Macaca mulatta: one gene and its partners. The protein of the gene in region 4 purifies or fractionates together with the protein of the main gene of each other region. This does not show direct contact. Links are inferred from orthologs where the notes say so. Each region holds a gene or a part of one and is shown on either strand. Other genes may lie near its edges.

Evidence for each region.
Region 1: the proteins of ATP6AP2 (region 4) and CCDC115 purify together in Homo sapiens (affinity purification with mass spectrometry; 3 studies listed by BioGRID and IntAct, counting the BioPlex papers as one, with this or other methods). This does not show direct contact. The link is inferred for Macaca mulatta from reciprocal best matches to the Homo sapiens genes ATP6AP2 and VMA22.
Region 2: the proteins of ATP6AP2 (region 4) and ATP6AP1 purify together in Homo sapiens (affinity purification with mass spectrometry; 5 studies listed by BioGRID and IntAct, counting the BioPlex papers as one, with this or other methods). This does not show direct contact. The link is inferred for Macaca mulatta from reciprocal best matches to the Homo sapiens genes ATP6AP2 and ATP6AP1.
Region 3: the proteins of ATP6AP2 (region 4) and ATP6V1A purify together in Homo sapiens (co-immunoprecipitation; 3 studies listed by BioGRID and IntAct, with this or other methods). This does not show direct contact. The link is inferred for Macaca mulatta from reciprocal best matches to the Homo sapiens genes ATP6AP2 and ATP6V1A.
Region 5: the proteins of ATP6AP2 (region 4) and ATP6V1F purify together in Homo sapiens (affinity purification with mass spectrometry; 3 studies listed by BioGRID and IntAct, counting the BioPlex papers as one, with this or other methods). This does not show direct contact. The link is inferred for Macaca mulatta from reciprocal best matches to the Homo sapiens genes ATP6AP2 and ATP6V1F.

The regions. Positions count from the first base shown.
Region 1 is NC_133417.1:6,445,179-6,450,043, forward strand, and holds the start of CCDC115 (vacuolar ATPase assembly protein VMA22), read right to left. Parts: upstream 3,004-4,865; 5' UTR 2,992-3,003; coding exon 2,881-2,991; intron 2,811-2,880; coding exon 2,707-2,810; intron 2,620-2,706; coding exon 2,537-2,619; intron 1,909-2,536; coding exon 1,777-1,908; intron 1-1,776. Other genes in the region: U3 small nucleolar ribonucleoprotein protein IMP4, read left to right, coding at 3,813-3,815, 3,958-4,066. UniProt on the Homo sapiens protein: Accessory component of the proton-transporting vacuolar (V)-ATPase protein pump involved in intracellular iron homeostasis.
Region 2 is NC_133426.1:160,610,638-160,615,531, reverse strand, and holds the start of ATP6AP1 (V-type proton ATPase subunit S1), read right to left. Parts: upstream 3,370-4,894; 5' UTR 3,333-3,369; coding exon 3,169-3,332; intron 2,970-3,168; coding exon 2,846-2,969; intron 168-2,845; coding exon 93-167; intron 1-92. UniProt on the Homo sapiens protein: Accessory subunit of the proton-transporting vacuolar (V)-ATPase protein pump, which is required for luminal acidification of secretory vesicles.
Region 3 is NC_133407.1:169,945,460-169,949,676, forward strand, and holds part of ATP6V1A (V-type proton ATPase catalytic subunit A), read right to left. Parts: intron 2,285-4,217; coding exon 2,156-2,284; intron 1-2,155. UniProt on the Homo sapiens protein: Catalytic subunit of the V1 complex of vacuolar(H+)-ATPase (V-ATPase), a multisubunit enzyme composed of a peripheral complex (V1) that hydrolyzes ATP and a membrane integral complex (V0) that translocates protons.
Region 4 is NC_133426.1:40,468,241-40,472,457, reverse strand, and holds part of ATP6AP2 (renin receptor precursor), read right to left. Parts: intron 3,473-4,217; coding exon 3,341-3,472; intron 1-3,340. UniProt on the Homo sapiens protein: Multifunctional protein which functions as a renin, prorenin cellular receptor and is involved in the assembly of the lysosomal proton-transporting V-type ATPase (V-ATPase) and the acidification of the endo-lysosomal system.
Region 5 is NC_133408.1:168,496,483-168,501,255, reverse strand, and holds ATP6V1F (V-type proton ATPase subunit F), read right to left. Parts: upstream 2,972-4,773; 5' UTR 2,939-2,971; coding exon 2,781-2,938; intron 751-2,780; coding exon 667-750; intron 506-666; coding exon 304-505; 3' UTR 24-303; downstream 1-23. UniProt on the Homo sapiens protein: Subunit of the V1 complex of vacuolar(H+)-ATPase (V-ATPase), a multisubunit enzyme composed of a peripheral complex (V1) that hydrolyzes ATP and a membrane integral complex (V0) that translocates protons.

The DNA of each region.
Region 1 (4,865 bases), on a different chromosome or scaffold from region 4:
TCAGACTTCCCGGACCCATTATATCACCCACCAGGAAGTAAAAATTCACAGCTAGTAATACCATCTCATGCTCTCATTTCCTTCCTTCCCCCATGACTACAGCCTCTCGCTCCCCTCACCTCCACTTCTTTTCTCTGCCCCAACAGTAGTCCACACTCTGGATCCACCTCTAGGTGGCTTGTGCCGATGTCTCTGCTGGAACAGCTGCTGCCCAGTCCTCCGGGCAGCTCTCAGTCTTCAGCCTCCTGTTCAGCAGCAGGGCTGACCACACACTGGATCGCTTGCTCCAGGAAACACTTTCTCTTCTTGGCCTCCAGGACACCTGCTCCCAGGTGTTGCTCCTAAGTTTCCTTGACTGGCTTCTCCCCTCCTCTCCCTCACCTCCTGTCCATACCCCCCAGGCCCTCTGCTGATCTCGTCCTGTTTCAGCTTGAAACCAGTGTTTGTGTCAAAAACTTTGGAATTTAAACAGTGCTATGCAGTGACTCCCAAATCTCTCTCCAGCCCAGGCCTTTCCCAAACTCCAGAGGTATGTGCCCAAGTGCCCACTCAGACTGTCCAGCAGGACATCAGTAGACACCACACAGACCACACCAACTCCTGCCTTCCGGCATCCCCTCAGCTGCCCACAGTGGGTGAGGGTCACTCCATCCTCCAGGGGTTCTGAGTGGAGACCGGGGGCTTTCCTGGACTCCTTTCCTTCCCTTACTCCCATATCTTATCTGTCAGCAAATTCTGAGGCTTCTACTCTTTTTTTTTTTTTTTTGAGACGGAGTCTTGCTCTGTCGCCCAGGCTGGAGTGCAGTGGCCAGATCTCAGCTCACTGCAAGCTCCGCCTCCCGGGTTTACGCCATTCTCCTGCCTCAGCCTCCCCAGTAGCTGGGACTACAGGCGCCCACCACCACGCCTGGCTAGTTTTTTTGTATTTTTTTTAGTAGAGACGGGGTTTCACCATGTTAGCCAGGATGGTCTTGATCTCCTGACCTCGTGATCCGCCCGTCTCAGCCTCCCAAAGTGCTGGGATTACAGGCTTGAGCCATCGCGCCCAGCCGGCTTCTACTCTTAAAACCTGTGCAGGTTCCCACCACTTACCTCCTCCTCCAGTGACGCCATCTGCTTCTCGCACTGGCCGCTCCCTGACGCCCGCTTCCTCCCTCTGCTCTGTGTCCCCAACCAGCACCCAAGGATTCCTGTGACCCTGTGCAGCCAGTCGAACCATCCTCTGCTCAGAGCCTCTCTGTGCGTCCCACAGTCTTCATCTGACTCCACTTCAGGCCATCAGCCTCTGCACATACCTGATATATATGGCTTCAGGGCTTTTGTCCTGGCTGGTTCCTCCATCTAGAGCACCATTCCCCAAAATCACCCACAAAGCTTTTCCTTCACCTCCTCAGAGAGACTTCCCCTGGCCACCCTTCGTAAAATAGCTACCTTGGCCCACTCCTGTCCCACTCCATTATGTGTTTTTCGTAACAATTTTCACATCCTGACTTATTACTTATCTGCACATTGCCTTTCTCTGCTCCTAAACATTACATGAAAAGGTGTTTTTCTCTTTTGTTCTCTGCTGTATCCCCAGCAGCTAGCATGAACCCGAATGCTGCCAACTATCAGTAAATGCTTTTGGAAAACACAGTGGGTAACAACAGAAGTTTGGATGAAGAGAAACCTGCAAAGTCTTTCACAGACTAACCCCAGCCATGGCAGCAGTGCTCCAGTGTTCCCTGTGGATAGAGGGTCTGAGGGCCACACAGCCAAACAACAGGGTCCACTCACCATCCCGGAAGCTGGCTTGAGCCTGACGTAGACTGTGAGGAACCAGGATTCCAAACCAGTTCAGGGGGTCCCGAGGGGCCTCAGAGGACTGCGGTTCTGGGGTCTTAGTGGGGCCCTTGCGCCTCCGCAGAGCTGAGGAAAGAAAGGTTGGAGTAGGCTGGGATCCTACTCCCTGGCCTGTATCGTCTTGGTGACAATGTTGAGCTTGATCTGAGCTCATGATTCTAGAAAACACTGTTGGTTGGAAAATTCCAACTTTGGGGTTCCAGGAAACAGCTTACCACAAAACACAGCCTTTCCCCTTGTGATTCAGATGAGACTGTTTGTCCACTCTTTCCCATGACTCCTGTAGGACCTGCCGATGACCCTGTTTGCCTGTGACACTGACCTTACCCATTGGACCTGAACATGCTGACAGACCAGACACAGACGTTCCAACTCCCCATTCTTTGTCTCAGGAATGATTAACTGGGATTAGAAGTTTGTCCCTCTGAAACTAGCTAGACACACAGATGAATATTTTCTGTTCAGCTGACTGAAACTTAAGTGATTGTAAAACTATTCCCAGTGTAAAGCAACTCCCCAACTTCTCTACTCCTCCCTATAAAAGTCTAAGGCAAAACCACCCTACAAAAACATTCTGTTCTTCAGCTCTGGGATGCTCTCTCTTATCGCAAAAACCTAATTAAAACCATCTCCATCATTTGCATTTTGTCTTTGACATTGGGAAGGGGTTCTGCAGAAGGAAGAGGGGGCTCACCTGCTTCGCGAGGCCCCACCTCCTCTGGGGCGTGGACACCAGATCTCACCACCTTGAACTTCTGGAGTCCCTCCTGGGCCTCGCTGAAGGACAAGAAGGGAGGATGGAGCTTTGGCACCCCGGGCCTGGAGCGCGCCCGCCCACCCAGCCCAGCATGGACGCTTCCTCACCTGGCCTGGAGGCAGACCTGGGGCTCCATGTGGGAAGCATACTGCAGGGGCCCCACCGACTTGGTGCCCATCGCGTAGCGAGCCTTGGCGAGCGACAGCCAGCCCTGCAAGGAGAGGACAGCGGTGAGCCTCAGTTTACGCCCGTGTGCCCTCCTGCCCGCCCCAGGCGCCTACCTCCTCCACCCGGGCGTTCAACACCGCTCGCTTCCCCTCCAGTTCCTCCAGGTCCCCCAGCAGCTGCAGGAGCAGCGAGTCCAGCTCCGCTCGCAGGTCAAGCGCCGCCATGGACACGCATTCAGATCCGGACCCGCCACCTTCCCCGTCACCGCCCGCGGTTGGCAGGACAGCCAATGGGCACACGAGATCTTCCATGGAGGGGCGTTCCCAGCTGGGGATCCCCACGCCGGCAGCACCTAGGCCTCCGGGTCAGCTCCTTTAAGGGCAAGCGCACTTAGAGAAGCAGCACAGAAGCAACCGATCGACTGGTTTCCCCAGTTAGCCCCCACGTGGATCAGCCAGCCGGACTGTCGGCCGGGGCCGAAGGTGGTTCTGAGTCCTTCCGGAAGCTGCCCAGTCTTAGAACTCGGGCCCCTGCTGTGGCGATGGAAGAAAGCGAAGCTGTGCAGAAACCATTTTGGTTGAGGGAAGAGTGGTTTTAATTTGGAAAGGAGCCGGCAGGCAACCTCCAGATCAGTCGGTGTGCCATTTTTACAGCTGATGAACTGGTTCGAGCCGCTAATTATGATTGTTTTAGCGGTTCATCATCTTGAAACCGTGCATTCTGCACGGCGGTGGCGGGGGAAGGGCGGGGATGGGGAAGCCGCTGGCGGACATCTTTATTAGCTGCAGTCGGAGGCCGCGTGCGACATTCTGTATCCAGTCTATTGGTTGTCCCAAGGAGAACGCCCCCTGGAACGGCCAATCGCCTTGCCATGCCCCCTCCCCCGCCCAGCCCTATTCGCCATCTTAACACAGGGCATGCCCGACGGCTGCAGGCACCGGTGAAGCGTCTAAGGGACCATCTTGGTTGAGGGCGGAAGTGAGGACTGCGAGGCGCCAGAGGAACCCACAGAGTCTCCCGGACCCACGTGGAAGCGGCGCTCAAGATGGTAGGAGGATGTTTGAGCTCCTGTTTCGGAGCTGCGGGACGCGTGAAGTGCTGGGGATGTGGCCCTGGGGCGTTGGAGCCTCGGGGGCTCCGGGGCTCCGGGGCTCGGGAGCCAGTAGTGACTGGGCCCGCTGTTCCCGCAGCTGCGCCGCGAGGCCCGCCTGCGCCGCGAGTACCTGTACCGCAAGGCCCGGGAGGAGGCGCAGCGCTCGGCGCAGGAGAGGAAGGAGCGGCTGAGGCACGCGCTCGAAGGTACGGTGGTCGGTCCCGCGGGCGTCTGCGCGGTAAACCCCCCGCACTTACTTGTGTTCGGATATCCAAGCGTCTTTCCAAATGCTTGCAGGCCGTTTTCCTTGCCCATTGGATTCTCCTGTTGGTTTTGAGAGTTCCTTCCGTGTGACAGTGGTACTTACTTGTCGTTGACGTTGCAGCACCCGGGTTTTGCAGCTTGCCCGCTGTGTACGGTGTGTCAAGTTCGTCCCCAGTTTTAAAGGCTTTACCTTGTCCTATAGAAATTCTCTCTAGAGCGGTGGCTCATGCCTGTAATCCCAGCACTTTGGGAGGACGAGGCGGGCGGATCATGAGGTCAGGAGTTCGAGACCAGCCTGACCAACATGGTGAAACCCCGTCTGTACTAAAAATACAAAAAGTAGCTGGCCGTGGTGGCACGCGCCTGTAATCCCAGCTACTCAGGAGACAGAGGCAGAGGCAGGAATTGCTTGAACCTGGGAGGCAGAGGTTGCAGTGAGGCAAGAGCGTGCCACTGCACTACAGCCTGGGGAAAAGAGCAAGACTCCGTCTCAAAAAAAAAAAAAAAAAAAAAAAGAAAGTTTCTCCAAAGACTATCTGGATAGCGCGGGTGCTGCAGACTGCACTGCCCATCCTCCCTGCCAGAGTTCCTCTGAGCCCCGTGGAGAACAGTGGTGCCCGAGTGCGTGCCTGGAGCGCACTGCTCTGCAGTGGGCAGCCTGCGGCCCAGAACCCGCTGAAGCCATGCTCTTGAGGCACTGTGGGCATCATGACTAGCGGTTTTGCTGTCTTGAGAGCTTTA
Region 2 (4,894 bases), about 120 Mb from region 4:
AAGTAACCCTGATATGAGGTAAGAGTACAGTTCTTATGCTGGGAGAAGCACAGAATGTCCCCCATGGCCCCTGGCTGGGAGAGGACTCTTACCTCTAGATTAGAAAAGGCGCTGTCCTGCTTGTTTCCAAACACACCACCATATGCTGTGAAATCCTCAATGCTCAGCTAATAGGGAAACAGGGGAGACATCTGAGGAGGTTTGACAAGGAATGGGGGCCAAGGCAGGGGACAGCCACCTTCCCCGTGCATTCTCAGGGCCAGCAAAGTCTCACTGAGAGTCAGGTTCGGTATAGTGGAGCGCGACTGTGTGTTGGTGGTGGTGGGTGGGAGACTCGTCTCTTCCCTCCAGCACTGTCAAGGCAGGGTGAGAAGACATAGAAGGCAGTCATGGGGGTGGGGAGATCTGTAGGCAGCTGATTTGTGGTAACCTCAGGAGTAGGAGTCAGCTGCCTTACCCGCCCTACAGACAAGAGGAACTGGGGAGGGAACAGGGAAGCTGTGGGGAGGGGGTGGGGCAGCCAAGAGCATTTGCAGCAGGCCTCCCAGCCAGAGAAAATGGGAGTTGGCTATGTCCAGTCTGGACAGGACCGTCACCCCACTTGCTTTTGGTGGAAGGGGAGAGAGGTGAGATCTCAGAACATGCGGAGGAAGCACTGAAGTCTTTTGAGCTCTTAGGACCACAGTGGCCCTGACCCCATCCCTTTTTCTATACAACTTACAGATGTCCTTTGTCCTTTCGCTCCTACCCCCTACTCCAATCTCCAGCTTCCTCTGGCCTTTCCCAGTTAGGCCCTGAGGAGATTTTAATCAGCTTCCCTAACCTGTTTGGTATATACACTCGCCCAGTCTCCCCTCCCTTGTGGGCAGGACCTTGCTGCTGTTTGGCCGCCCAGGCTCCCAGTCGGAAAGCCCAGGAGTTGCTGGTGGTTCCTGTGGGCTTTCTTTAATTGAGAAATCACACCACTCCCTGCTCCACATTACCCAAGGCTTTCTTACACATTTAGAACTGCACCTGACCTTCCCCCTCATGGCCTACAAGGTCCTACTTCATTGCCTGGCCACCTGAGAACCATCTCCTACATCTCCTACCCCTTTCTCTCACTCACTGTGCTCCAGTCACACCAGGTCTTCCTTGAGCTTGCCAAGAGCACACCTCGCCCAGGGCCCTTGCATTTGCTGTTCCAGGAATGTCCTTCCCCCAACGGCTCCCTCCCTCCATTAAGATCTCTGCTCAGATATCACCTCCTCACCTCCTCACCTCCTCAGTGAGGCCCGGTCTGACCACCCTTATCTAAAACAGCATCCCAGTCACTCTGTCCCCTTAGCCTGTTTCCTTCCCTAAAGACTATAACACTGACATCATATAATATACCAACTTAGTATTTACTGGTCACCCTCATGAGAATGTCAGCTTCCTGATGGTGGGGGATTGGGTTCTTCTGCTCACTGCCGTATCCCCAACACTTCATAATACCTGGCACATAGTAGGCTTTCCATATTGGACAAATGAATGAATGGGTGAATGCCGAAAGACTGGGGGATCCTGGCTAGATGTTTTATGTGGATTATAAGAATTCCCCCTCACAGGCCGGGCGCGGTGGCTCATGCCTGTAATCCCAGCAGTTTGGGAGGCCGAGGTGGGTTGATCACGAGGTCAGGAGTTCAAGACCAGCCTGGCCAACATGGTGAAACCCTGTCTCTACTCAAAATACAAAAAAAAAATACAAAAATTAGCTGGGCGCAGTGGCAGGTGCCCTGTAATCCTAGTTACTCAGGAGGCTGAGGCAGAGAATTGCTTGAACCCAGGAGGTGGAGGTTGCATTGAGCTTACATTGCACCACTGCATTCCAGCCTGGGCAACAGAGCGAGACTCTGCCTCAAAAAAAACAAAAAAAACAAAAAAAACAAAAAAAAAGAATTCCCCCTCACAGCCCTCTGATGTAGGTGGTGTCTTCATTTTACAGATGTAGAAACTGTCATTGACAAAGATTATTTCATGCCTCCAATGGCTGGTTACATGGTGGAACTAGGACTCAGTTCCTATCTGACTATATTATTTACCACCTCCTGAAAAGACTTCAGGTCACCATCTGCCCACACAGCAACCAAGGGAGACTACAAGGGCAATGAGCCATACAGGCCACCAACAAGGGAGGGCCTAGCAGACGCTTGCTATCTTAGAATCATCTCATGGTCTGCACGCCTGCTTGGGGGCAAAGATCCTGGATGGGAGGGAAAACAGCATGCAGGTTATGAGCTCCAATTGGGAGGGAGGATTGACAGACTCAGGCTGGAACCAAAGTGGTGTCTATCAACTGTAGTGAAACATTGTATCTCGACAAACCTTACTTTCCTTGGCAGTAAAACCGAGATAATGACATCAGTATAGCAAGTGCCTACAAAGCACTAAACAGGTGATCATTTTCCAATTATCATTATTATGATCATCACAGCTAGAATTACAACTGTGCCACCCATTAGCTGTATGAGCTTGGGCAAGTCACTTAACCTCCAGCCTCAGTCTTCTCATTTATAAACGAACAGGGACAATAATCCCCACCCACCATATTGGAGTAAGTCAGATATCCAAAGTGCTTGGTAATCAGTAGGTACCTGGCCTCTGACCCGTCGCTTCCTCCAATCAAGTTGGTGCCATTTCCGAGGCTGTCGCCATGCCCACTGAAGCGTTTACTACAGGCCTTCCCATGAGACGACCCACACCTCCCTACGGTTGGGACAAGGTCACTGAAGCTTCCCTTGGGGAATGGGCGTCAGTGTCATGGGGGGAGGGGTTCCTGGCTGCCTCCCGATGACCGGGGGAGAGTGGGCTGGGGCAGGCGCACCTTGTCCTGCAGGAACAGCAGCACATTCCGGGGACCCAGCTCCAGGGCGGGATCTAAGTAGGCAGAGAGTTGCAAGTCGCTGGTGATGTGGCCTTCATGAGTGTCGGCAGGAGCCCACAAGTCCCTGGCAGGGGACAGAAGAGGTGCTGTCAGACGGGGGCGCATGTGGACTGGAGCTCTGTTGCCGGCAGATTCGCTGCGACCCCCGAGCAAAGAATAGTCCACCTCTGGGCCTCACCACCCCTCGCGTAGGACAGCGCGGGAGTCGGAGTCGGGCGAGGGCGCCTCAGCCGCCACAACGCATCCCACCCCGGCCCGCTCACCGGTCACTGGACCACAGCACCAGCGGGACCTGCTGCTCCGCCGCTGCCGCCGCCGCCGCCGCCGCCGCCAACGACAAAAACACCGGCAGCCACGGCATCCGCCAGAGCGCCTGGGCGCACCGCGGCCTCATCCGCACTCGAGCCGTCGCCGTGGCCGCCATCATAGCCTCAGCCTCCACTGCTTCAGCGGCCTCGACAGCCGCGGATCAGGTGACCGTTGCCCCCGCCTGAGCCCCGCCTCGCACCTCCATTGGCCCAAGCGCGGGCCGGCTGGCAGGGCCGCAGGTAATTGGACCAAGTGCATGCCACTCGCGGCCACTCCTTCTCACTGATTGGCTGTACGTGTCTCCAGGCACTCACACTCCGAGTGGGAAAGGGGATGGGGCCCACCTAGACCTACTAGGACGAGACAAGAGGGACAGGGAGGCTCCGCGAAACCCTGCGCGCACCCTACGCGTTCGCCCGTCCGTTTTTATTTATTTATTTATTTATTTATTTATTGTTGTTGTTGCTCTCTTCTTTTCTTTCTTTCTTTTTTTCTTTTTTCTTTCCTTTTTTTTTTTTTTTTAAGAGACAGAGTCTCCCTATATTGCCCAGGCTGGTCTCGCCTACCCCCACCCCCCAGCTCAAGCGATCCTCGCACCTCAGCCTCCGGAAAAGTGGAACTACAGGCGCGCATCGCCGCACCCGGCCAATCCTTGTTTTAATCCTTTTCCTTAAAATTGCAAAAGTGGTGTCTTTTTCCTGTAGATGGACCCTCCCTGATACAGGTGACAGGAGACTGTAATCCCTTAGAATGAGGACAGAAGCGAGCCCAGGATAGCATCTGCGGGAACACCCAGCACTTACTTTGGGTGGGAGAAGGGTCCAGAAAAGAGATCGGACAAGGAGCAACCGAAGAGGAAAGGGGGAAACCCAGAGCGAAGCGTGGCTTCAAAGACACCCTAACGGGCCGGGCGCGGTGGCTCACACCTGAAATCCCAGCACTTTGGAAGCCGGAGGCGGGCGAATCTTGATCAAGAGATCAAGATCATCCTGGCCAACATGTTGAAACTCCGTCAATACTAAAAATACAAAAATTAGCTGGGCATGCTGGCGCACTCCTGTAGTCCCAGCTACACGGGAGGCTGAGGCAGGAGAATCACTTGAACCCGGGAGGCGGAGGTTGCAGTGAGCCAAGATCACACCACTGCACTCTAGCCTGGCAAGAGTCCATCTCAAAAAAAAAAAAAAAAAAAAAAATTGTAGTCATGATTGTCACATGTGATTCAGACTAGGACGAGAATAGTGGCAGTTGAGCTGGATAGAGGAAGTGGGTCTGACGATACAGTCAAAGAAAATTGTAGCTTTTGGGTCTCTCTGAGTTGGGGACTGGGAGATGAGGTCACTTGGGGGCTCACTGAGTTTCGGGTGCTTAGGGAAACCCTCAAGTGGCCATTTCCAGGCCTGAACTAGCTGAGGAGAGAGGTTTTTGCTGGAGCTTCACTGTATCCCAGGAGAATCCAGCAAACTTAAAAAGGAAAGCATGTCTATTATGTTTCTGTTACTTTTGGTACATAGTTTCAAGGCAAAGACTTCCTCTGGAATGTGGAATGCAATCTTGCCTCTACCAGGACTCTGTTGCTGAGCTGCTTCCATCCTTAGGGGAGAAACCCACCTGTGACTGCTTTTATTCTTCCCTCCGTTGCCAGGGGTCCCTGGAGCGATGGCCCTTGAGGCTTCCTGA
Region 3 (4,217 bases), on a different chromosome or scaffold from region 4:
TAAATAAGCATAATGAGTCCACTTTATTCTCACACATTTGTTGACAGGAGTAAAATCAGTACAACTTTTCCTGAGAGCAATTTAGCAATATTTATCAAAATTCAAAATGGGTAAGTCTTGACCTAGGAATCCAACTTCTGTGAATTCTTACTATACTTACACTGTAGCACTGTTTATAACAACCAAAGACTAGAAACCAAAACTTCTATCATTAAGATATTAAGTAAATAATCGTACATTTATATGATGGAATTATTATATGGCTGTAAAAAAAAGAACCAGAGTTATCATGAATTCCTCTAGAAATATCTCTAAACTATGTATTTTCATTTCCAATTTTGATTATGAAAATCTTCTGAACAACAACAAAGTTGAAAGAATTTTACAGTGGACTTCCAATCTCTACCAGTTAGAGTCTACCTTTAGCATTTTACTATATTTATCACATATCTATTTATCTTCTAGAATACATATACTTTTAAGTGAAAAAAAGCAAGGTGTATAACAGTACATATAATATGCTATCTTGGGAGGCCGAGGCGGGTGGATCACGAGGTCAGGAGTTCAAGACCAGCCTGGCCAAGATGGTGAAACCCCGTCTCTACTAAAAATACAAAAAATTAGCTGGGTGTGGTGGCACACGCCTGTAATCCCAGCTACTCGGGAGGCTGAGGCAGAGAATAGGTTAAACCTGGGAGGCAGAGGTTGCAGTAAGCTGAGATCGTGCCACTGCACTCCAGCCTGGGCGACAGAGCAAGACTCCATCTCAAAAAAAACAAACAAACAAAAAACAAACACATATAGAGAGAGAAAAAGGAAAGAAAAATACAAATATTTGTATTTGCTCATGTCTGTAATTACTAAACTAGAAGGATATACAATAAAGGGAGCTATAAATGTGGTTGCATGTGTGCATGGAAGTGTGTATGTGTTTTGATAAATGGCTAGATACAAGACAACAAAGGCAAGGAGGGTTGTCACTGTTTACATTTTCATTTATTTTAATCTTCAAGCCATGTAAAAGATTAAACAAAAGATAAAAGTAACAATAGAAAAAATATTTCTGATTAGTTACAATTTCATAGCTACAAAAACTTCTGTTTTTATTTAAAATTTTTAGATGATTTTGTTTTAAATTGGCACCTAGTACTATAGAGAGACTAGTTAACTGCATGCATGTGTTTTAGAATGGCCAAAAACATCATACCAAATAAATCTTGATTAAATACTCAAATAATTAATGGGGATTTTGAGAATCAAAGTAAAACACATATAGAAGCACTAAAAAAGTGATTCTTCTTCACTAGGCTTAACCCTTTATGCTTATTTTTCATAGAAAATTGAAAATAAATACTATGTTTAAAAGCCAAAATTATGATAACCAAATAGTAAAGCTTTCCTAGTAATAAAACTGAAATGTAATACGTCACTCGGTGCTATTATGGTGACCAATTTATTTGTGGACTTACTATTTTAAACCGAAATCATAATTGGAGAATTTTAACTTCACAAATCAATATTGTTATTCTGTTTACGCTTTCTTCCACAGTATGTGTCCCACTGAAGAAAAAGTTCAGTTGATCCCCCTGAAGTTCATGAATTACTGAAGCAGTAAGAGCAATGAAAGTTCAGAAGATACTAATTTCTTAAAATAAGAATATTAATTCATAGTACCTTTCTCTCTTTCTTTAACGTACTCCGGTATAATTTAGGTCTCTTCACAACACCAGCATTTCATGCTTCTAATAACATTAGTTGTTGCTGCTTTGCTGCTTCTACCTTTGGCTTAAATCCTTACTTTTTTTTTTCTTTTCTGAGACAGAGTCTCACTCTGTCACCCAGGCTGGAGTGCAGCGGTGCAATCTTGGCTCACTGCAACCTCCCTCCTCCGGGGTTCAAGCGATTCCCCTGCCTCAGTCTCCCGAGTGGCTGGAATTACAGGCGCCTGCCACTACGCCCAGCTAATTTTCTTATTTTTATTAGAGATGGAGTTTTACCATGATGGCCAAGCTGGTCTCAAATTCCTGACCTCAGGTGATCTGTCTGCCTCGGCCTCCCAAAGTGCTGGGATTACAGGTGTGAGGCACTGTGCCTGGCCTAAATCCTTAAATTTTGAAATATAGAAAGTGGCAGGAAATTGAGCCAAAAAGGATACAAGTTTCTTCATACACCTGAATAGTAGCCATGTCACCCTCCAATCGAATAATCTCTCCAACCAACTCGCTGTGGCCCACTCTCACCAGCTCATACATGGCTGCACCCGCCATGTCACAGGCTGTAACCACTGAAGAGAACAAAAGACTATTTTGATGACTTAAAACTCTAGTGTTCTGTGAATAGTCACAAATTATTAAAACACCCAATAAACCCAGTATCGTGCCTCTCTCATATATTCATAAGAAGAATAAAAACCTACTATTGAACATACTGGTAGTTTCACATAGATACATTTTTAGTGTATAATATAAACAGATAAGCCAAAGATTATTTATTTACATAATATACATGAAAACTTTTCAAACATTTCAAGTTCTGCACGGCAAACTTACCTGGTAGGATTCAAGTATGTTCTGAGAGTTGCTATGATATATGGAGTGAAGGCTTTGGAACAATAAAAAAACTTTTAAAAGTAGAAATTGGAATAAATGGTTTGGCTAGTAGTATGGTGGAATGCCACACAATTATCACTTTGCTATGCTGTTACCATTTCCTTTGAGAGACAGACCTAAAGGAACATCTTTACTTTCTAACAACTTACAGCAGTGGTTCTTAAAACTATTCTGGGACATGGACCCTTTTGAAAAACTAATAATAGCTCTACTAGAAAAACTCACACGCACATCTACAAAATTTTTTTCATAGGCCATAAGGATATTTACAATCAGTCACCACCACTGGGTAAGAAATTATCAATGGAATTCCATTTACTGAACTTACTATTTTGGACCATGTTGTCTAGTAAGCAAAACTTACTTTTCTAGCAGGGAGGAAAGGAAAGGTTGCCATATTTTTAGACACGTGTAAGAATAAACCAATTTTTAATATTTAGCCTTGTGATACAACTGATTAGAACTATATAACAGGTAATACTTCAGTGGAAACTATTAAAGTTTTATGAGTTAATTAACCTGTGTTAAAACAATGAAGACTTATTCATTCTGTAAATATTTCCCTCTATACTGATTACTTAAGAATTAAGATGCACTGAAATACCAGAGATAGTGAAATTTAAAAATCATATTTCATAAGCCAAAAAAGGATGCCATTGTTCCATTGCCTTATTAAGTACTTAAGAATTAAAAATTGCAGGAGGCAAGGGGAGGGAGAGCATTAGGACAAATACCTAATGCATGTGGGGCTTAAAACCTATATAACAGATTGATAGGTGCAGCAAGCCACCATGGCACATGTATACCTATGTAACAAACCTACACTTTCTGCACATGTATCCCAGAACTTAAAAGTAAAATCTAAAAAAATTTTTTTTTAAAAATTGTTTCCAGGAGCAGTTTACTACACAGTTTCACAGAGTATTTTTTCCTGAACTCTTTGATGTTCTTTTGCTTTTTCTCTAAAAGTTCTTGGGTTTAGCCTGTCCTTCCTAAAGACCCTTATGATCATTGAGAGGACAATTATTTCTCTGCATGGCAAAAGATACTGATAACCTTTTAATGACTTGCCAATGAAATCAAGCTCAAACACCAAGTTCTTGGGGGAGAAAAAAGGGGACAGTGACTGACAGTTTTCATTTGCATAAACATCAAAAAACTGTCATCACCACTACTGTAACTGGAACAAGAAAAAGACTATATAGCATGAGGTTTGAAGGATAATACATCACTAAGCAGGCTTTACTTAGAGAAACTGTGACTGTGAATCACATTTTGTAGAGGGAGTATTCAATAACAAAACAAATACTGGCGCAAGATTTATTATTTAAAAAGCAGCACTCCACGTTTTGGCAGAATGGACACAAAGTTTGGGTACTAAAACTTCTTTCCCACAGGTAGTTAATAAGACACTTAACCATTCAAAAAGTTTCATAAATGCAAAAGGCAAAAGCTAATATTACTGAGAAATGCTCTGAGCATTTGAATTATTAAAGTTCAAAGCAAATTAACATTTACTGAATGCCTGCTATATGCAAGATATTACATATTAAAAGCAATATACTTCATAGTTTTTTTTACCTCAAATTTAACAAAAAATTAAGACAC
Region 4 (4,217 bases):
TACAACGTCATGTTTTGTCATAAGTTTACAAAGTGGACTGATTAAATCAGGCTAATGAACAAATCCATCACCTCACATACTTATCTTTTTTTGTGGTAAAAGTATCTAAAATCTACTCCTTTAGCAGTTTTGAAATATACACCGCATTATTATTTAATATAGTCACCATTCTGTGCAACAGATCACTAAAGCATGATCCAGCAAGCCCACTTCTGGGTATATATATCCAAAGCAATTGAAGTCAGTATGCTGAAGAGGTAACTGCACTCCCATGTTCACTGCAGCACTATTTACAATTTCTAAGATATGGATGGAAGCAACGTCGGTGTCCATAATCAAACGAATGGATAAAAGAAAATGTGCAACTGGATGCAGTGGCTCATGCCTGTAATTCCAGCACTTTGGGAGGCTGAGGTGGGTGGATCACCTGAACTCAGGAGTTTGAGACCAGCCTGGCCAACATGATGAAACTTCATCTCTACTAAAAATACAAAAAATTAGCCGGACGTGGTGGCGTGCACCTGTAATCCCAGCTACTCAGGAGGCTGAGGCACCAGAATCCCTTGAACTCAGGAGGCAGAAGTTGCAGTGAGATGATATCGCACCACTGCACTCCAGCCTGAGTGACAGAGCAAGATTCTGTCTCAAAAAAAAGAAAAAAGCAGAAAGAAGAAAATGTGTGTTGGGAACAAGCCCCCCAAAATCTGGCCATAAACTGGCCCCAAAACTGGCTATAAACAAAATCTCTGCAGTACTGTGACATGTTCATAATGGCCCTAACGCCCAAGCTGGAAGGTTGTCGGTTTACAGGAATGAGGGCAAGGAACACCTGGCCCGCCCAGGGCGGAAAACCGCTTAAAGCCATTCTTAAACCACAAACAATAGCATGAGCGATCTGTGTCTTAAAGGCATGTTCCTGCTGCAGTTAACTAGCCCAACCTATTCCTTTAATTCGGACCATCCTTCATTTTCCATAAGGGACACTTTTAGTTAATTTAATATCTATAGAAACAACACTAATGACTGCTTTGCTGTTAATAAATATGTGGGTAAATCTCTGTTCGGGGCTCTCAGCTCTGAAGGCTGTGAGACCCCTGATTACCCACTTCACACGTCTATATTTCTGTGTGTGTGTCTTTAATTCCTCTAGCACCGCTGGTCTCCCCAACCCAGCTGGTCTCGGCAGAAGAAAATGTGGTATATAAACATAATGGAATACTATACAGCCTTTAAAGTGGGGTAAACTGTCATTTGCAACATGGATAAACCTGGAGGACATTATGTTAAGTGAAATAAGCCAGGCATAGAAGGACAAATACTACATGACCTCACTTGTAAGTTGAACTCATAGAAGTAGAGAGCAGAATGATGGTTAGAAGAGGCTGGGGAAGACAGGTGGATGGGGAAAGGAGAAATGTTGATCCAAATAGCTTTTTCTTTTTTTTTTTTTCAGGTAGAGTCTCGCTCTGTCACCCAGGCTGGAGTGCAGTGGCGCAATCCCAGCTCACTGCAACCTCCACCTCCTGGGTTCAAGTAATTCTCGTGCCTCAGCCACCAAGTAGCTGGGACTACAGACGTGTGCCACCACGCCTGGCTAATTTTTGTATTTTCAGTAGAGACAGGGTTTAGCCATGTTGGCCAGGTTGGTCTCGGATTCCTGGCCTCAAGTGATTCACCCGCCTCGGCCTCTCAAAGTGTTGGGATTACAGGCATGAGGCATGGTGTCGGGCTCCAAATACCCTTTTAAGATATTGTTTTATTATTATTTTCAGATTTAACTGCATTGTGGTCAGAGAAGGTAGTTTATATGATACTGATTCTTTATTGTTTGTTGAGATTTGCCTTGTGGATTAGTGCATAGTAATTTTTTCTAAGTATGCCATGTGTGCTTGGAAATAATCTATACTAGACCACAGGAAAGTCTGAAAAAAAAAAAATTCCCAAAACTTCAGCATCACATAGACCACAGTATTACAATGCAGTGAACTTAGAAATTTAAAAATTAGAAATTATGTTTTTAAAACTCATGCATTTGGAAAAAATACTTCTACATAACTCATGGGTTAAAGAATCACAATACAAATTATGAAATATTTTGAAGTATCAACTAAAGCACCATATATCAAAAATATCTTATAACTCCCTCATAGTTTCTGTTCCTTCCTTTTTTTCACAAATTTTTTCTCTTTCTTTCTTCTTCTCCCCTCCCCAGAGATAGGGTCTTGCTATGTTGACCAAGCTGGTCTCGAACTCCTGGCCTCAAGCAATCCTCCCATCTTGGCCTCCCAAAGTGCTGGGATTACAGGTGTGAGCCACCATGTCTGGCCCTTTTTTTTTTTTCACAATTTTAACGTATGTATTTTTAGGTCTCTTGGAAATTGGCCTATTCTCTGTAGTTCTAAGGAGATGAATTCTGTTTGTTGCACCTAGTTTCTCGTGGCATTTTTTTTCCTTCAGGTGCTTTGTAAATTCCACTCATCTTCCATATTTGACCAAAGGAGCCCTTGGCTGTGGAGGTGTCCCTATGGGGCAGGTCATGTGAATTTGGAAAGAACCACTCTACACAGCATAAGCCTATAATTCTAATTCTAATTTCTCTCAGGGGACTCTTTGGGTCCAACAGCCAAGGGCAGCAAGCCAGCTTTACTAGTTTTACCAGTCCTCTTTTCAAGAACAAGTTGACAGCATTTTCTAGTCCCTGGATTTCTGCAGGAAACACAGTTTCAGCATCAGCTCCTGCTCACCACTATGGCTTCTGAGTTTTCCATCCATATGTAACACCTGTGTATATCGCCCCCTCTTGCATTCAAATTTACTTATGCTAGTAAAAATGTTTTTGTGACATTCTTTCAAGCACTTCTCTATGCTTATAATGGAAGGAGGGCCTCTCAGATCAGCACAGTCACCCACATTGCCTGAATGGCCAGTGAAGGAGTAAGTGAGCCAGCAAGCAGCCTCCAGTGTCCTTACACACAAAAAGAGGTAAAATCCTGCAGGGAAGATGACAAGACAATGGCCAAGAAAATGGCAGCAGGATACACCCCCACCTGGTTTCTCCTTTGGTGGCTCTCTTTTTCGAGCCTCTGGCTATTCTGAGTGGGGCAATTTCTCTATCTCTTATCTTAAACAGTACTCTCATCCACAGAGAACAGCCAAGCCTCAATCAATTACAATCATCATGTAATTTTCTTAAAAAGAAATTGTGTTTGTAAAAGAATTTCAAAAGAAACCGTGCATCAGAAACAGATAAGATAAGTATGTTTAGAATGCAATTCATAATGGCAGCTGACAAGGGAAAATGTAAAACACATCCCTTTAATTTTTTATAATAAATACTCACATTCTCCAAAGGGTATGAAATGACACTGCCTGGGGGTAGAGCCAGTTTGTCCACTCCCTTCACCATCACCATGACAGTAGCCCGAGGACGATGAAACAGGTTACCCACTGCGAGTCCTGGCCAAGAAAGGTCCTAAACATTGAAAAGCACAAAACGGTGCTTAATTATCAACTCAGGAACCCACCTCCCCAATAACATCTAATAAGCAGAGTTAAGGGGTTCTGGGATGACACTGACAAGGAAAATTCACAGGGAAAGTAAACATTTTATTTGTGGCAGTCGCTGCAATCTCCTAATTAAGAATGCTGATTTCTACCCTCTTCATTTTCTTAAAATTCTACAGATTTGAAACAAAGTCTAATAGTAAGTTATCTCACACCTTTTGTGGAAAAAAGCAAGTAAACAAAACATAGGTACCTTTCAAATAACAGATCACAAAATAATTCTTTTCTTCATGTAGCTACGGAAATTTTCTTCCCCCACATCATTTTTTGCCCTTATATACAGCATCACTTTTATCTTTCACAGCAACATAGCAAGATGGTCATTAAAACATCCTCTTTAGACTAAGCTCTTTATAAATAAAACAATTCCTACTAAAAATAACTATCATTAGTTTACTAATAATTCTTTCTCAAAGTTATTTTAACAGCCATCTGTAATCAAGTTTAAGGTTGTAAAGAACTAGATGGTCGGGTATGGTCTTCACGCCTGTAATCTCAGCACTTTGGGAGGCTGAAGCAGGTAGATTCCTTGTGCCCAGGAGTTCAAGACCAGCCTGGGCAACATGGCAAAATCCTGTCTCTACAAAAAATATAAAAATGATCTGGGCATGGTGTTGTGCACCTGTGGTCCCAGCTACTTGGGAGGCTGAGGT
Region 5 (4,773 bases), on a different chromosome or scaffold from region 4:
TGTACTTTCCAGCACCCAGCCCGTTTGGAGAGAAGCAAGAATATGACTTTAATTTAACATCAACAATGACACTGTGTAACAGCACAGGGAACAGGTAGTGGAGGGAGATGGTCAGGCTTCCTGTTCCTTAACCAGCTTTAACAGCAGAGCCCCAGCAACCTAGAAGTGCCTCACCTAGCCTCTTAATGGAGTGGGAATGGGCAGGGAATTGGAAATCAGAGGCTCAAAAAGTAAAGAAGGCTGATGGCAAGCCTGGGGAGAGGCCTGGAAACGAGGGAAGGGCTGAGGGCTGTGAGGAGTCCCCTAGCGCAGGTCTTCAGCAGTGAACATGCCCCTGGCCCTGCGCAGAATGGAGTCCTTGGCGGCGTCATATGGGTGCTCCTTGGAGGGGATCTCCAGGACAGCGGGGATGGAGTGCTGGTGGGCGTCCAGGGCATGCCGCACCATCTCTGCGATGTACTGGTTGATGAGGATGATGCCAATGTCATCCCGGTTTAGAAACTGCCTGTGGGGAGAGATGAGACGGGAGTCTAGGGCAGCTCTGGGGGCTGCCTTCTCTCCTGCCTCCAAGTTGTTGGGCTGGGCAGTGGAGGAGAATGAGTGTGACCCAGAGGGCACAGAGGACAAGGAGAAAGGCGGCCACGCTCAACCCTATGTCAACTCTACCAAGAATCAATTTCATCCCAAAGCGGAGGGTCATGCTGACTAGGGTTGGCTTCTGCAACGCTGCCTGAAACGCTTCCAAGTGAACTGGTAATGAAAATTAGGGTGCACACTGCAGTGATGGTGTCAACCCTATGTCAATATGCAGTGATGGTGTCAGAAAGGGGAAGGATAAGATTATATGTATACAGATCCTTTTTTATGTGCAGATACTGAAGGCCGGGTGCAATGGCTCATGCCTGTAATCCCAGCACTTTGGGAAGCCGAGGCGGGTGGATCGCTTGAACCCTGCAGTTTGAGACCAGAATGGGCCACATAGTGAGACTCCCATCTCTACAAAAAAAAAGAAAAAAAAATGTGTACATATATACAAAAAATTGGCTCGATGTGGCAGCATGTACCAGCTGCTTGGGAAACTGTAGTCCCAGCTACTTGGGAGGCTGAGGTGGGAGAATCACTTGAGCCTGGGAAGTCGAGGCCACAGTGAGCTGTGATCACGCCACTGCACTCCAGCCTGGGTGACAGGAGTGAGACCCTGTCTCAGAAAAAAAAAAAAAAAAAGGACACATTAACTTTTAGAAAGAAAACAAATTAATTTAAAAATAGGGCTGATGAGACCACTGAAGGCCTCAAGGTCTATGCTGATGAGGGTGGTGGAGGGGTCAGAGGGAAAGTCTGGCATGAACCAAGATCACAAGCTAGGAAGAGGACACTCTGATGAAGGAATCATACTTTCTGCCCAAAAAGAACCTGGCCTCGTGATCCTCCTCTCCTATGATCACCCACCCATTCATTCGTTTATTTTATTTTTTTGAGACAGGGTCTCCCTCTGTCACCCAGGCTGGAGTGCAGCGGCGGATCTCGGCTCACTGCAACTTCCGCCTCCCAGGTTCAAGCAGTTCTCCTTCTTCAGCCTCCTGATTTGCTGGGATTACAGGCACCCTCCACGACGCCTGGCTAATTTTTGTATTTTTAGTAGAAATGGGGTTTCACCATATTGGTCAGGCTGGTTTCGAACTCCAACCAGCCTGGCGGGTGGAACTCAGGTGATCCACCCGCCTCGGCCTCCAGAAGTGTTGGGATCACAGGCGTGAGCCACCGCGCCCAGACTCATTCATTTATTTACTGGTTAAAAATTATTTACTGAGCACCCACCCCCCACCAGTCACTGGGTTAGATTTGATCTCTGAGGTCCCTTTTGATTGGAAACATAAAAAATTCTTGAAGTAAAATTTGTCCTTCTCCCATGGTAACTTGGGTCACTTTACCAGACAGCTTAGAGATCGGCAGGTAACAGCCTACCAGGTCAGGAACTACCTAATACACCAGGCAGCAGGAACCAGTCTCAGCCGGCAGCCCTGGGCTGGACTGTTTGGGGGGAAACAGGTGAGTGGTTTATTCCTGAGACTTAGTACAGCGAACCTGAAGAAGGGGTGAGGGATAGAATAGGAGGCTGTTATCCTCAATTCAGGTCACCAGGACCCCTGGTGGATTAAAGGCATGTCTGCGCCCACACTCTGACCTAAGGCAGGGAGTGAGGGCTTGAGTGCAAGGTCTTAGCAGAAGGCTCTCACAGTCCTGACATTTTCTGCCTACTGTGCTCAAGAGCAAAGGGAAATTCCGAGGCCGACTGAGGAGAGCTGTACAGAGTGTGTACCTGGCTTACCAAAGGCAGAAAGGGTTAGGATTAGGTTCAAATTCCAGGTCTGCCTCTGCCCACTTGTAACTTTAGTGTGTGCCTTAACCTCTCCAAGCTTTAGTTTTCTCACCTGTAAGTAGGACAAAATCACCCCTGCCTTACCGGACGACGGTGAGCCTGTAAAGGAGGGGAAAGCAGAACAAAGTCCGAGCCCACTGCCTAGCCCGTCACGAGCTCTGTTCCCCTTCTTTCCTGACACACGATCATGTGAGGTGGGGAGCTCGTGGACCTGATACAGCGTCGGTGCCACCCAGCCCCAAACGGGAACTTGGGGCGCAGCGGCGGGCGGGCGGACTTTCACGACCATCCCCTAACCCCCGTCCGGGCCTCACGCCTCGGTCCCCGGGCCGCCTCCACCCTCGCCCCGCACTCCACCAGGCAGCAGAAGGGCCCGTTCAGGCCTCGCGCGCTACCGTACCGGAAAGTGTCTTCGATTTCATTGATTGTTGTATCCTTCTCCACCACCAGGAAATTGGGGTGGCGGTTCTTGTTAAGCTCCCCTATGCCGCCCAGCAGGAAACCAGTCACCGTGTCCTCGTCTCCGATGACTGCGATGAGCTTCCCCCTCCCCGCCATCCCCGCTGCCGGGCAGAGCTCACCCGAGAGCACCAAAAGCCGCCGAAGCCCCGCCTCCGCCGTACGGCTCCCCGTCGGCCCCACCCCCCTTCGGGCATGCGCAGTTCTCCGAGCCGCATTCCGGGACATGCGCATGAACAGCAACACGGCCTCCATGTGAATACGCCTGCGCCATAAAGACAGGCCCGAAGCAGGGGACTACGATTCCCAGAAGGCTGCGCGGCACCACCTCCTTCGCGGGCATTCATTCGTTCATTGACTCTTTCCTTGGTTCATTCGTTCAACAAGCGATTTGAACCTGGCGCTGTTTAAACGCCGAGATCCCAGAGAAGAGACGCAGTTACTGATCTCATCGGCAGGGTCTGGGTCTTTATCGTGTATGTGTGTACCTATGACACATATTTAACAAGTAATACGCATTTGTTCAATTAAAGGAATGCAGAAGTTAGTGATGATACTGTCTAGTGAGATGGAAAGTCAAGGGAATAGGCGACTACAGAGCTGTGTGTTAATGGTTAGAATGTGAAAAGTATATGGAAGCACACATCCATGGTAACTAACCCATGGAGAGAGGGGGCATCCAAAGAACCCTTCCCCAAGAAACTTGCTTCAGATCTAAGCTGAGACCTGAAGGACCTGCAGGATGAAGGGGATAGAAGTGAGGACAAGACGGTGTTCTAGGCAGAGGAAGAGCATATGCAAAGGCGTACTGACTAGAGAGCGTAGGGCCTTCAAGGAAAGTTAAAGAATTGGTAAGGCCAGGCATGGTGGCTCATGCCACGCCTATAATCCCAGCACTTTGGGAGTGCTTCCCTGATGGAGGAGGATTGCTTGAGCTCAGGAGTTGGAGACCAGCCTGGGCAACACAGTGAGACCCTGTCTCTGCAAAAAATTTTAAAAATTAGCCAGGTAGGCCAGGTGCGGTGGCTCACTCCTGTAATCCCAGCACTTTGGGAGGCCAAGGCAGGTGGATCACCTGAGGTCAGGAGTTTGAGACCAGCCTGGCCAACATGGCAAAAACCTGTCTCTATTAAAAATACAAAAAATTAGTTGGGCATGGTTGTGGGCACCTGTAGTCCCAGCTACTCGAGAGGCTGAGGCAGGAGAATTGCTTGAACCTGGGAAGTGGAGACTGCAGTGAGCCGAGATTGTGCCATTGCACTCCAACCTGGGCGACAGAGCGAGACTCTGTCTCAAAAAAAAAAAAAAAAAAATTAGCCAGGTGTGGTGGCGCACACTTATAGTTCCAGGTACTCGAGAGGCTGAGGCAGCAGGGCTTGCTCAGGAGTTCAAGGTTACAGTGAGCTATGATCAGGGCACTGCACTTGAGCCTGAGCAGCAGAACGAGACCCTGTCTGAAAAAAAAAAAAAAAAAAAAGGGATCTGCAGGCCAGGTACGGTGACTCACGCCTGTAATCCCAGCACTTTGGGAGGCCGAGGCAGATGGATCACCTGAGGTCAGGAGTTTGAGACCAGTCTGGCCAACATGGTGAAATCCTGTCTCCACTAAAAGTACAAAAAACATTAGCCCAATGAGGTGGTGTGTGCCTACAGTCCCAGGTACTTGGGAGGCTGAGGCAGGACAATTGCTTGAACCCGGGCAAGGGAGGTTGTGGTGAGCTGAGATGGCGCCACTGCACTCCAGCCTGGGTGACAGAGCGAGACTCTGTTTAAAAAAAAAAAAAAGGATCTGGAAGTTATCCTGAGGACAGAGTTATCCTGAAGCCGCTGAGGGTTTTCAAGTAAGAGAGTGCTATCACCAAACTTACGTTTTAGAGCTGTCACTCACTGTGACTGTGCTGTGAGCGGAGGCGAAATTGAGGGAGGAAAAACCA